Nothobranchius furzeri: one gene and its partner. The protein of the gene in region 2 purifies or fractionates together with the protein of the main gene of each other region. This does not show direct contact. Links are inferred from orthologs where the notes say so. Each region holds a gene or a part of one and is shown on either strand. Other genes may lie near its edges.

Region 1 (6,026 bases), on a different chromosome or scaffold from region 2:
CAGATATGTTAGAAAACGTCTAGACATCGGCCATGAAAATCAACCCAAAAAACAGGAGCACATATCAGCCATAACTGACCGTGACCTCTACATATGAGCATCAGTATCGGCAATAGAAAAACCATATCGGTTTATCTCTATAGTCTGATGTTTACAGCTTCATTAGTTTAGATGAACACACAGAAATCACATTGTGAAAGTTTCATTAAATTTGCTTTGATATGACCAAGATTGATTTACTGAAGCTTAAAGAGATCTTTACCATTTTGATTTCAATGTCAAAGTGATCTACAGGTCAGAGGATTTCAGATAAAACTCTTACAGGTATTTTAATAAACAACAAACCTTCTGCTGGAGCTTGAGTTTGAAACAATACATTAATTATGGCTCAAGCTTCATTAAAGGTGTTTAACATACACGCATGTCTAGTTATCCTTTAAGATCTGTGTCAAATGTTTCAGTCAGTAGGATGGAAGCTGTAGTGGGTGAGAACTGGAGTTAGTTTATCATCTACCACCATTTATTAGTCTGAACTGTGGATGGAAAAACACCCATCACTAGTTCCCAGTATGATGGATCTTAGAGCAACACTGCCACCTAGTGTTTAAGGCTCAAACTGAAGTTATTTTGAATTCAGGTCATGGATTGTTAAAGTTAAAAGTTAAAGTCCCATTAGATGTCACACACACAGGTGTGTGTGCGAAATTTGTTCTCCGCATTTGACCCATCCCCTGGGGGAGCTGCAGACACAGCTGCACTCTGGAACTATTTGGTGGTTTAACCCCCCAATCCAACCCCTTAATGCTGAGTGTCAAGCAGGGAGGCATTGGGTCCCATTTTTTCAAAGTCTTTGGTATGACCCGACCAGGAATCGAACCCCTGATCTCCCAGTCTCAGGGCGGACACTCTACCACTAGGCCACTGAGAAAGGGTAGAATAAAAGGGTAGAGAACAGGAGAATGTTCCCTTCAAACTGCAGGGATTTGTGTTTTCAAACAAATGAAATCAAAAGAATGTTTTTAAACATCTGATTCCACATATAAAGCTTAATTTGACCTATTAATTAACACTTTTATCCAGCCAGAAAAATGGTGTCACTCCTTCAACAGACAGCAGCTAATCCTCCATTAGCATCCTCAGTATAAAAATAATAAATCATGTACAAAAGTCACAACTGTGTCAGGTCCCCTGCAGCCTGATATTTCTGCTTTGAAACATAAGACACAAAATCCTCTCATTCATCTTCTTCACACGCTTGTTTCTTCCAAAGGTCACATGAAACTGGATCCTGGTCCAGTATTCGTAAAACCAAACATGGTGCTTTCTGTTTACAGGCCTGGCAGCTGTGTGCCAAAGTTGGAAAATATAAATAAAAGCACTGATGGATTTGAAAGAATCTTTTCAAAAGCTTTTGTATCTCGATGTTTTCACTGAGAATTTGAGGGGGCGGTTTGGATTTTTCTCCTGCTGTAAAGATGATCTCACAAACCACGTGACTTTTTTTTTCAACTTTATTTTCATTTATTGAAATTAAAATAAAAATACAAAACTAAATTGCTAAAAGCCAAAATGAAAAAGTGGACGGAAAGAAGAAAAACTTATGTTATCTGCCCCTTTTAACTAAAATAAGGTTCTCGATTTACCGGTCGATCTACGTCCCAATCCTCACCTATGGTCTTGAGCTTTGGTAATGACCGAAAGAACAAGATCGCGAATACAAGCGGCCGAAATGAGTTTCCTCCGTAGGGTGGCCGGGCTCAGCCTTAGAGATAGGGTGAGGAGCTCGGACATTCGGGAGGGACTCGGAGTAGAACCGCTGCTCCTCCGGATCGAAAGGAGTCAGTTGAGGTGGTTTGGGCATCTGGTCAGGATGCCTCCTGGACGCCTCCCTGGGGAGGTGTTTCAGGCATGTCCTGCCGGCAGGAGGCCCTCGGGTCGACCCAGGACACGTTGGAGAGGTTACATCTCCAATCTGGTCCGGGAACGCCTTGGGTTCCTGCCGGAGGAGCTGGTGGAGGAGGCCGGGGAGAGGATGGTCTGGAGCTCCCTAGTTGGGATGCTGCCCCCGTGAACCGGACCCGGATAAGCGGAGGAAGACGACAACGACAATCATATGATTCTTAAAAAATTTGAACAATATAGTTTCTGGACTGGTTGGCCGACACAACCTCAACCCATTAATTGAAAAAAAAAGAGAAAACAAGTTACACAGAAAGAAGCATAAAGTTATATACATATATACTTACATATACACATATGCATACATACACTTGTTCCCTTTTTACCCTTTTTTCTTTCTTTCACCCCCCCAACCCCCCTCCCCTCACGCGTTTATGTAACAGATCTATATAAGTTAATCATTTCATTTTTTATCTCTTTTTTGAAAGTCAATATTGTTTTTGCATTCTTGATTTCAGTATTTAATTTATTCCACATTTTAACTCCATATATGGACACACAATGTTCCTTTATGAGTATCCGATGTCTAGGTATATTAAATAAGTCGTGTCCTTTTAAATCATTTGCTATGTCTTTTTGTAAATCTTTTGATTAATCCTGCAGGTATGTACCCTTTGTTTGCATTATACATAAAATTTTAAAATATTGTAGTCCACCAGATCATAGAATTTTAGTGTTTTTAATTTTTATAAATAATGGATTGGACGGATCTCTGTAGTTGCTCCTTGTGATTATTCTTATTGCTTTTTTCTGTAAGATGTAAATGGAATTTGTGTAAATTTTTTATGTTGTTCCCCAGATTTCAATGCAGTAGTTCAGGTACGGTATGATCAGTGAGTTATATAACAAATATAGGGAATTATTATCAAGTAACCATTTTGCTCTATGTAACAGTGCAATGGTTTTAGATATTTTAGTTTTGACATTGTTTATATGTAGTTTCCAAGACATTTTTTCATCAATGATGACTCCCAGATACTTGACTTCTTTAACTCTTTTAATATTAATCTCATCTATATTTAATAAAATGTCATCATTTGAATGTATGTATTACTAAATATCATAAAACATGATTTATCACTCTTTAATGATAGCTTGTTCCCATCAAACCATAGTTTAATTTTTTTCATCTCCGTTTGTATCACTTCTATCATCTGCTCAACATTATCTCCTGAATAATAAAAAGTTATATCATCTGCAAATAAGGTGCATTTTAATATATTGGATACCTCAACAATGTCATTTATATAAATGATAAATAGTTTAGGGCCCAATACCGACCCTTGTGGTACACCACAAGTAATGTTATTTATATGTGATTTTGTGTTGTTTATTTGAACATATTGCTGCCTATCGGTAAATGGTAAATGGCCTGTATTTGATATAGCGCCTTCTAGAGTCCTGGAACCCCCCAAGGCGCTTTACAACACAATCAGTCATTCACTCATTCACACACACATTCACACGCTGGTGGGGATGAGCTACGGTGTAACCACAGCTGCCCTGGGGCGCACTGACAGAGGCGAGGCTGCCGAGCACTGGCGCCACCAGTCCCTCCGACCTCCATCAGCAGGCAACGTGGGTTAAGTGTCTTGCCCAAGGACACAACGACAGCGACAGACTGAGTGGGGCTCGAACCTGCAACCTTCCGATTACGGGGCGAGCACTTAACTCCTGTGCCACCGTCGATAACTTATCCATTTTAGGGCCATCCCTGTGATGCCATATTTACTAAGTTTTTTAATAAGAATTTTATGATCCACTGTATCGAATGCTTTTGTTAAATCAATAAAGATACTTATGAGATGAGTTTTTTGTCAATGGCTTCCGATATTTCTTCTGTTAATTCCATTAATGCCATGGATGTTGAATGATTTGTTCTAAAACCATACTAACTGTCATTTAATATCTCTTCTTTGATCAGGAATCGGTCCAGCCTAGCACCAGGCATGTCAACTCTATTATTTTTAAGTCCAACAGGTGGCGGCCCACCACTTTGAAGTTGCAAGTGCAATATTCTGGCCACAGGAGCGGTGGCGTCTGGGTGACTTCTCATTAACCCCGTAAACGGTCATTTTAGCACATGCTGGCTCAAGAAAATTATTTAAAAATATGAAAAAGTTGAACAATTTCCCTTTAAAGACCATTCAGGGTGTGTCCTCTACTTCATCAAAAATGTGGTGAGGAATAATTTATTCAGGAATGCACTGGTGTTGATACTGGCATCGGATTATCAGGCCGATACCACGTGCATGTACTCCCACTCATAAACTCCGACACTACAGGACACAATACCAGTGCCTCATCTGTATTTGCCTCATGAAAATAAACAGTTTATAAGTACATTTTATGGAGTATATTGACATTTATAACTACTTGTATTGGTACTTCATATCAGCGAGTACTCAAATAAAAGTACTTTTCTCAAACTCAGTCTGAAAGAATCGCTGATTTCACTGTCATGATTTAGCTCAAATATGTTCAGTTAAAAGGGAACACATCAAATTCAGCAAAAAATTTAAATGTGCTGCAGATGCATTAGATTAATAGTATGAGTCCTACCTTTAAACCACGCTCCTGGTTTGAACAAAGCCTTCTTCATGGCGCTGTAAAGATGGAAGTTTAGTCGTTTGTATTCTGCAATGTCGTCCCGCACTCGAGGCAGCAGCACCAAGTTATAAAACCTCTGAGCCATTCGCTCTTTCAGATTGGAGGAGAAGATTCTGTGTAAGAAATACAAAAAAAATGCCAAAATTTACTGAGCCAGGATCCTCTGGAGGTTTCTTCCTGTTAAAAGGGAGTTTTCCTCTCCACTCTGGCTAAATGCTTGCTTAGTATGAGGATTGCTTGATGCGATTTGCTGAGTTCCTTATATAGGAAACTTTTTACTGATTGGCTTACTGAACTGGCCTGTATTGGAATGTTTATTATGTGAAGTGCCTCGAGATGACTCTTGTCGTGATTTGGCGCTATATAAATAAACTTGAATTGAAATTTAATTGAATTAAATTACTGCCATGTTAATAACCCAAATGATCTAAACTCAGCAGTAATGTGTAGGAAATCCTTAGCTTAAAGACACAATCTGCAACATTTACACTTTAAAATAATATTTTTGAAAGCTTTTGGTGGCATTCTATGATATGTTCATTTTGGAGCTGTGATAGTGCTATGGGGTCCCACGTCTGTTTACTGCACTGTACAGGTTTTGACCGGCTTTCCACCCCCAGAAGTACTGACTGTGTGTTGTTTTATGGCAGTATCACGTCCATAGACCTGAATACGTAGATGCCCCATTGGGCGCTGGAGAGCGTTAACAGTGCCGCCGCCATATTGGATGGGTCTCCTCACTCTTCGAAATCAACTACAACAGAGTGAGCAACTATGCCCGTTTTTGTGCAGCCTACGGTTACACATGGCATACAATTGAAAACTGATCATGTGGGATTCGTATACTTTTCTAGCCTACCTATTTATTTTGTTTGGTTATATTTATATTTTAATTATGATGTCATACCTCTTGTCTTATTATGTGAAAAAGCTTGATAAAATGTGTTTTTTTAAATGGGTAAACATCTTCAGTAGAAATGAATGCAATGGAGACGAATGGCGGCCGGCCACTACGACAGCTCCAGTAGGCAGCACCAGTCCAAAGGACATCTACAAATGTCTGTGGTAGACCCACGGTTTAGAGACTTGAGCAATGGCAAATCCACCAAAGAAAGCTAGAAATACCTTATCAGAGGAATCTAGGAAAAGAAAAAGAGAACGCGATAGAGCAAGAGCAAAGAGCAGAGTTAACATCGGGCTGACTTTTCCTTGCTGGAGAGATCTTCTTGAAAGAATGGCATGTACTACGGACTCTGACCTAGCCGTGCTGCTAATGGATAGGTAAGTAATAAATTATTCCACCGGGATTATTGTGTTTTGTCTGGCATGAAGTTGTTCTACAGTCCTGATAAAAACGTTATTCAATGCTGCTTAATGTGTTTGTTTGGGCACGCGAGTTGGAAAACAGCCAGTAAACATGCCTCTTATGCAGACAAGAGATTTGATTTCATGACAGT
Region 2 (6,668 bases):
CTTGTTGAAAATATCGGAGTTTGTTGGATAAAGAAAATAGGGAGAGCACAATTTCTTTCTGTAGGGCTTCTCCAATAGCAAGGTGAGTGATTAAACAGAACCACACACTGTTGATTGAGTCAGTGAGGATGTTGCAACACATTAGTCATCAGCTACTCTGATAGGATTGGATGGAGTGATGGAAAACCTGATTATGTAAGTGCTTGGTTTGACTCACTACAGGAAGCAACTGGTTATATGAAGGAAAGTCAGATCAACATTGCGTCTAAACGTGTGGAACAACAAGATCAACAAAACAATTTTTAATTCTTTTATAATATTTTCAATATTTGAAGCTGTGGCTCGTTACAGTCAGCAATATTGCGACTTTTGCACTTAAAAGGTTAAAAGGAGCTTAGGTATTAGCAACACCTGTGAAAATGTATCTGCAGGAAACAAATGTTTATTGAAGTCTTTTGTAGGGCTGCTCAATTCATCGAATTTTAATCCCAATTACAATCTGAGTTTTGAACAATTATAAAAACAAGACAAGCCGATTATTTGCTTCTCCCTCTTGCGCTGCCCCGAGTTGCAAACCAAGTGCTCCTCCCACAGTGTTGCTAACTTTAAGACTTTGGAGCCATTTCCAACAGCTTTTCAGACCCCCTTCTTGACTTTTTAAATCTTAAAAGGACCAAACGAACACCCCAGAAACATTTCTGGTAACCCTTAACCACTTTCTGGACAACTGTGGTTGACATTTCCTGCAGGTTAGAAAACACTCCGCCAGAGATCGGGACCGTCCTTCAGGATAGTAGGAAAGGGAATGATGTAGTGATTCATTACATTAACTGATGGGACCTGTAAATGAATAGTTTAGAAATAAGGAAGAAATAGACAGAAATAAGTTCCTCACGCTGCTAATGATAAATAATAATTAATCTCTCTGAGACTGAGGACACGTTGCTAGTGCACTCTCCTACATCACCTAGACAGGACTAAATAAATATTATGCAACATTTTGTGAACATCACTAAACATAGATGTTTATGTTATAAATGCCACAGTATAATTCTTCCTGTCAGCATTTGCAATATATTGGTTTTTTGGTCTATACTGGTTAGGCTTAAACGAGTGAAAACAAGGTCTACAGCCCTTGAGTCATAAACTTTGAGCAACTATACTGATCTTTTTATTCTAGGAATCAGGAATAACTTTTATGATCTGGTTTCTTTCTTTTTCTTCTTTGTCCCGATTGTGCCCTGAGCAATTTTATGAACAAATAACAAATAAAATCAATCAACATTAAATAATCGAGACCTCAAGTTCAGTCACAATAATCGTGATTATCATTTTTGCCATAATTGAACAGCCCTACTCTTTAGTGTTTAATGTTTTTGACGTCTTGTCTATGCAGAGCTTCTGTAGTTCAGTTGCGTCCATAGCTGCTAGCCAAACCTCAGTGGAGTTAAAGTCTCTTGTGTTTTCTGGATTTATTAAAATATCTGTCTGTACTTTTTTGATTGATGGCAGTTTTTGCTTTTTATTAGACTCCAAAAGTAATCATTTAGCATGTTCCTAAATTATAATTTGTAAGAATGTAATCAGTGATATTATCAATAGCATCCCGTAGGGTTTTTCAATGTATATTAGCAATGTGCTAACCACTCTCTGCCAGTCAAATCGCAGCCTTTGCGATTAGAAAATCTTTTTTGTCACATCACAATTTAATTGCATATAATTTCCCTACTTCAAACTAGAAGCTAATGATGGGTATATTAGAGCATCCTGGACTAATCATCAACAAAACTGATGATTAGTCGACTATTTAGTCATTTGTGGCAGCCCTACAGAAGACGACGTGAAAACATTACCACTGCTGCTGCATTGAAATTCACTAGTCTCTGGAGCTGGTCAAAACAAAGACATTCACTTTAAGTGTTCGCATATTTTGTACGTAAATGCTATTGCATGTTTGTAGTGTATTCTCCATTGATTAAATAAACATTCTGCAAGTAATTCAAGTTTCCCTGTTGTTGTCCTTTCTCTTAAAGGATACCCAAACTTTTGAGCGTTTGTGCCACTTAGAGGCCATTCTTCCTTCCCAGTAAAGCCTGACTCCGGTTTCACACTGCAAGTATCAGCGGAACGGAACAGCAGCGGAGCGGCTCACTCGCGAACTTTAAAGCGGTCCTTTTCACACCGGGAGAGTCTTGGTCGCGGCACGGCTTCCTCGCTGTGCCTCGTTGTACCCGCGAGATTCTAAAATCCCTCAAGACTTCCGACACCTTCCTCATCGAGAGATCACAACCCCTGCGAAGAATCGCACCGTTGCACTCCTCGAAAGAAACTGGTGGTAAACAAAGCTGTTCGGTCACACTTACTGACGTAAGTTATATATAACATTGTAACGTTGCATTTTATTTTGAAAATAACCGGGTATTTTACACTGAAACCGTGTGGTTTCCTGTCTCGCACTATGTGAACTGCGGGAATTGACGTGTCCCAGAAGTGGCTCCCGGAACAAATAGAACTCGATGTTGTCCTGGCAGAGAATTGCTTTGCAACACCCCTTGGGCAAACGGGGAAGTATGACAGTAAAACGCTTCTATCAATCCGTGCATGTCTGTCCCTTGTGGAGCTGACGCAGAAGCATGACTCAGGCTTAAACGCGTAGCTCGTTTAAGCTACACAACATGAGTGGTGATGTAATTTGCGCCAAATGGAATTGATAATGGAATCGTATGCAAAAATGGCAAATGATTCCAAGGAACTGCAACTGTGGGAACCAGTTCTCAACAAGAACCGGTTTTCAATTCCCAACCCTAGTATTTACCATCTTGTACTTGGACGTAGAAATGTATATATATCTCTGACCATGTGTATGAGCAGTATCAAGTAGTAAAACGGTCACTTTTAAAGGTATTGGTCATCGACACACGTTCATCCACAAATTGCTTTCACCTAATAAGTAATTATATCTGTGGAGTAAAAGCTTCATCACATAACTGGTGTTAAAACCTATAAAAGACACCTTGCTTCCATCAGTGTCCCCATGACAGCTGTGGCTGCTATGTAGCTCATCATCAACAGTGTGAAAGGGTGTGTCATGCCTTGGGGATTGTAGAAAGCGCTATATATAAATAAAGGACATTTATTCTTTGGAACTATTATGAATATAACTCAAGAATAAACGTAAGTATGCTTTGATTCAATGTAGGCATTTTATTTTTCTGGTTATGCTTTAGTTGTAGTGAACTATGAATGGATCACCTTCATCTTTGCTTTAAAGCAGCCAACCTGCATTAATTGTCTACAGTCTGTATTTCTCTGTATGAGCTGCCTTAACGAGTGGATTTTCCCACTGTGGGATCAATAAAGTATATCCTAATGTATTCTACTCCCTTATACTTCACCGTCAGTAAATGGGTAAATATAACAAACTCTCACCCAGTAAAAATGCAAGTGTTTCTGAAACCACGGTCTGGTCGGTCATTTTGCTCACAGACTAACGTCGTTTACAAGGAAAAAAGAAACAGGAACTTAAACATAGCCTTTAGCTTCACAGCTAGCGTCAGTTTCGTTGTTTTACACAGTATTCATTATTACGACGCTCACAAAAGACAACTGCTACCAAAGTCGAGCACAATTAAACTCGATTAAACTTTACAATAGCCGGCCTTTATCCTCTTTTAATGCCGAAGTGAACAGAAAGAAACGTGAAAATTACATACCCAAGTAGATGTCTCCAAATGATCCACTTCCAATTTTTCTGCCCAGCCTGTATCGGTTTCCGACTCTCAACTCCATGTTGACAAAATCTGACAGGCTAGCAACTACACTCGTTAGCTCCAATATTTGTAACAAAACTAATTTGTTCAAACGCAACACAATATTAAAAAAATATGAATCCAAAATCCTGTTTTAGCGATATATTTCGTCTTCTCAGGATTTGTGGGCTTCTTTTTCGCCTCCTTTTTCACAATATTATTAACATTATCTATAAACAATACGATGCTTGTCGGAAAGGTCAGCGCTTGTTCTTTCTGCTCCTGCTATTGTTAAAAACCAGTACGCGTTTATTTTACACGGATGAAGCTGGATTTCGAAGCTAGGTACCAGCTCCGGTACTCTGGCTTACAGATACTAGCTTAGAGCTTGCTAGGCAATTTATCGGAGGAGTTTGACGTCACTTCCTGGCAAGATGAGCGGAGAGGAATCCACCAGAGAGCATGTTAGTGAAGATACACCTATTAGTAACGTTTTGTTCCTTTGTTTGTACGGTTTGTGCAGATTAAATGTAGCAATATGAAAAGCGTAAAATAACGATAAAGCTTTTTGTATTGCAAATACAACACTCAAACATTTTTAATAGCTACTAGAACATTACCTCTGTTCTTGTTTACTGATAGAGACCAATCTTCACTAAATCATTGTGTCTGGTCAGTCACAACAAAAGATTGTTTCCTTTGTCCTCTTGGCCTCTGCCCATCATGCACTGTCCATCTCGCATGAACTTGTAAAAACTCAAATAAAATTAGGCAAGACCTAGATAGTTGTGAAATAACACCAGAAAATCTTGCCTGAATTAATGTTGAACGTTGTTGAATGTAAAAAGTTAAAACCGTAAAAAATGTCCAAGAAATTCTGCAATGGAAAAACGGCTCAGGTCAGCTTAGTTTAAGTTGTTTTTCCAAGTTAAGCTGAGATACGGCTACATGGGTGCACACCAGTCGTGTGCACATGCCCCATGCAATCTCACCCAACATAAAGTAGCGAAAAATGATCTGTAAACAGCGTAAGGGGGTCTGTATGCCACACATGGATGCTTGCTTTCCTCTTAGGTTGCTTATGAAATTATATTATGACATAGTATCTTATTTACACTATTTTATTTTCTCCTAACTTAAAAGTTATTATGCAGAGCTGTTTATAAAGTGTAGTGCTTAATTTAGATTAAGCTATAGAATGTCTATTATAGACTTTGACATTATCAGAACCATACTTTTGGTGTCAAATATAGCACTAGTCTACGTGTAGCACTGATTTTAGATGCACCCTTACAAGGGTGTCTTGTAAAATAAACTCCTTCACCCACAGCTACTGTTGTTATGAGAAGCTGCTAGATTGAACCTTGAAGTTAGAAAAACAAATTCCCAGACTTTCAGAGGGTCATCTGACTTCTGGGAGCGTTCCAGCTAATTGTTCCTACTCTGAAGTTAGAATATTCGAGTCCCCCAATGGAACACACCAATTGACTCCCTGTTGGTTTTAATATAATATAATATAATATAATATAATATAATATAATATAATATAATATAATATAATATAATTTTAAATATATTACAAGGACAATGTCCTTCCTTGGTCAAAGAAAATGGTTAAATGGAACAGATTTGCATCATGTGACGTGGGAGATAAATTTTATATGTATAAGTTTCAATTTTAAAGCCTTTTACATTTTAAATTGTGTATATTTGTTAAATGAAATATGTAAGCGAGTTACTACTTGCTAGCCACCAAAGCTGCATTTACTAAGCAACTAACCAACCATAGCTAACATCTTTGGATCTAAAAAACATTTCAGATATTTGCCCAATAGCTACAATTAGTTGATTTACATTTGAACTTGAAATTTGCTCGCAAAGTAGCTGCCGGCTTCTGATCCACCATCCTATTGAAAATACCGCTGTGTATTCTGAGACATTTTTGACCAAGGCTAGGCTACATCCTATCCTTGCTCAGCTAGTTAAACGGCTAACAAACAGAGAGCAGACACCTCAGTAGAACATGAACATTGGAACACGCCATGGCGGTTCCTGGTGAAGTATATCCTAGGTAACCAGGGCGGGGCCAAGACATCAAGGCAAGGTTTCTTGGCTATGAGAAACACCCAAGGTGTCTGCCTCACAGACTAAAGCTGGGACCTGGTTCCACAAGAGAGGAGCCTGATAGCTAAAAAATCTGCCTCCCATCCTATCATTAGATATTCTAGGAACCATCAGTAAACTTGCAGTCAGAGAGAGACATGCTCTGTTAGGAACATATGGAACAATCAGGTCACTGATGTATGATGGAGTTTTTTTTGTTATTAAGAGTGACTTAATATGTGAGAAGATGGACCTTAAAATCTGTTCTAAATTTAACAGGCAGCCAATGTTGGGAAGCTAAGACAGGAGAGATATGATCTTTCTTTTTAATTTTCATCAGAACTCTAGCTGCAGCATTTTGAACAGATGACTGAGGTCATCTTCACCAGCATCCTCCTATCACGACATTCTCAACTGAATCCAGATGACAGCCCAGAAACAAGCTAGCTTTTATGACTAGCTTGTTCAGTTTCTTCCTGTGCTCCAGTCACAGGGGAATAAAACATTCATATTTTTAGAGTTTTTCTGCTAGATATTCTTCAAGCTTCTCCATGCCTGCCGCTAGATATCCTCCTCTCTCTGTATGATTTTGAGGGCGCAATGGCAGCGCTGTAGATGACAGTGGCGTCCTGACCAATCACAAGCTTACGTTTTCAGTCTCGACGGACGGATGTTTAAAAAAGAAAGCTTGACTCCATCCATCCTTGCAAGCCTGATGGAGAGCCTTCGAAAGGCTGTATAATGGTGTTGCGTGCGTCCATCCTGACGCAGATGGAGAAGTATAAATTAGGCCTAACTCTGAAGGACCTCAGCCTC

Evidence for each region. The genes of interacting proteins can lie anywhere in the genome.
Region 1: the proteins of csnk1da (region 2) and bysl purify together in Homo sapiens (affinity purification with mass spectrometry; 3 studies listed by BioGRID and IntAct, with this or other methods). This does not show direct contact. The link is inferred for Nothobranchius furzeri from reciprocal best matches to the Homo sapiens genes CSNK1D and BYSL.

The regions. Positions count from the first base shown.
Region 1 is NC_091743.1:46,641,439-46,647,464, forward strand, and holds part of bysl (bystin), read right to left. Parts: intron 4,683-6,026; coding exon 4,522-4,682; intron 1-4,521. UniProt on the Homo sapiens protein: Required for processing of 20S pre-rRNA precursor and biogenesis of 40S ribosomal subunits. May be required for trophinin-dependent regulation of cell adhesion during implantation of human embryos.
Region 2 is NC_091758.1:11,452,564-11,459,231, reverse strand, and holds the start of csnk1da (casein kinase I), read right to left. Parts: upstream 4,021-6,668; 5' UTR 3,790-4,020; coding exon 3,714-3,789; intron 1-3,713. UniProt on the Homo sapiens protein: Essential serine/threonine-protein kinase that regulates diverse cellular growth and survival processes including Wnt signaling, DNA repair and circadian rhythms. It can phosphorylate a large number of proteins.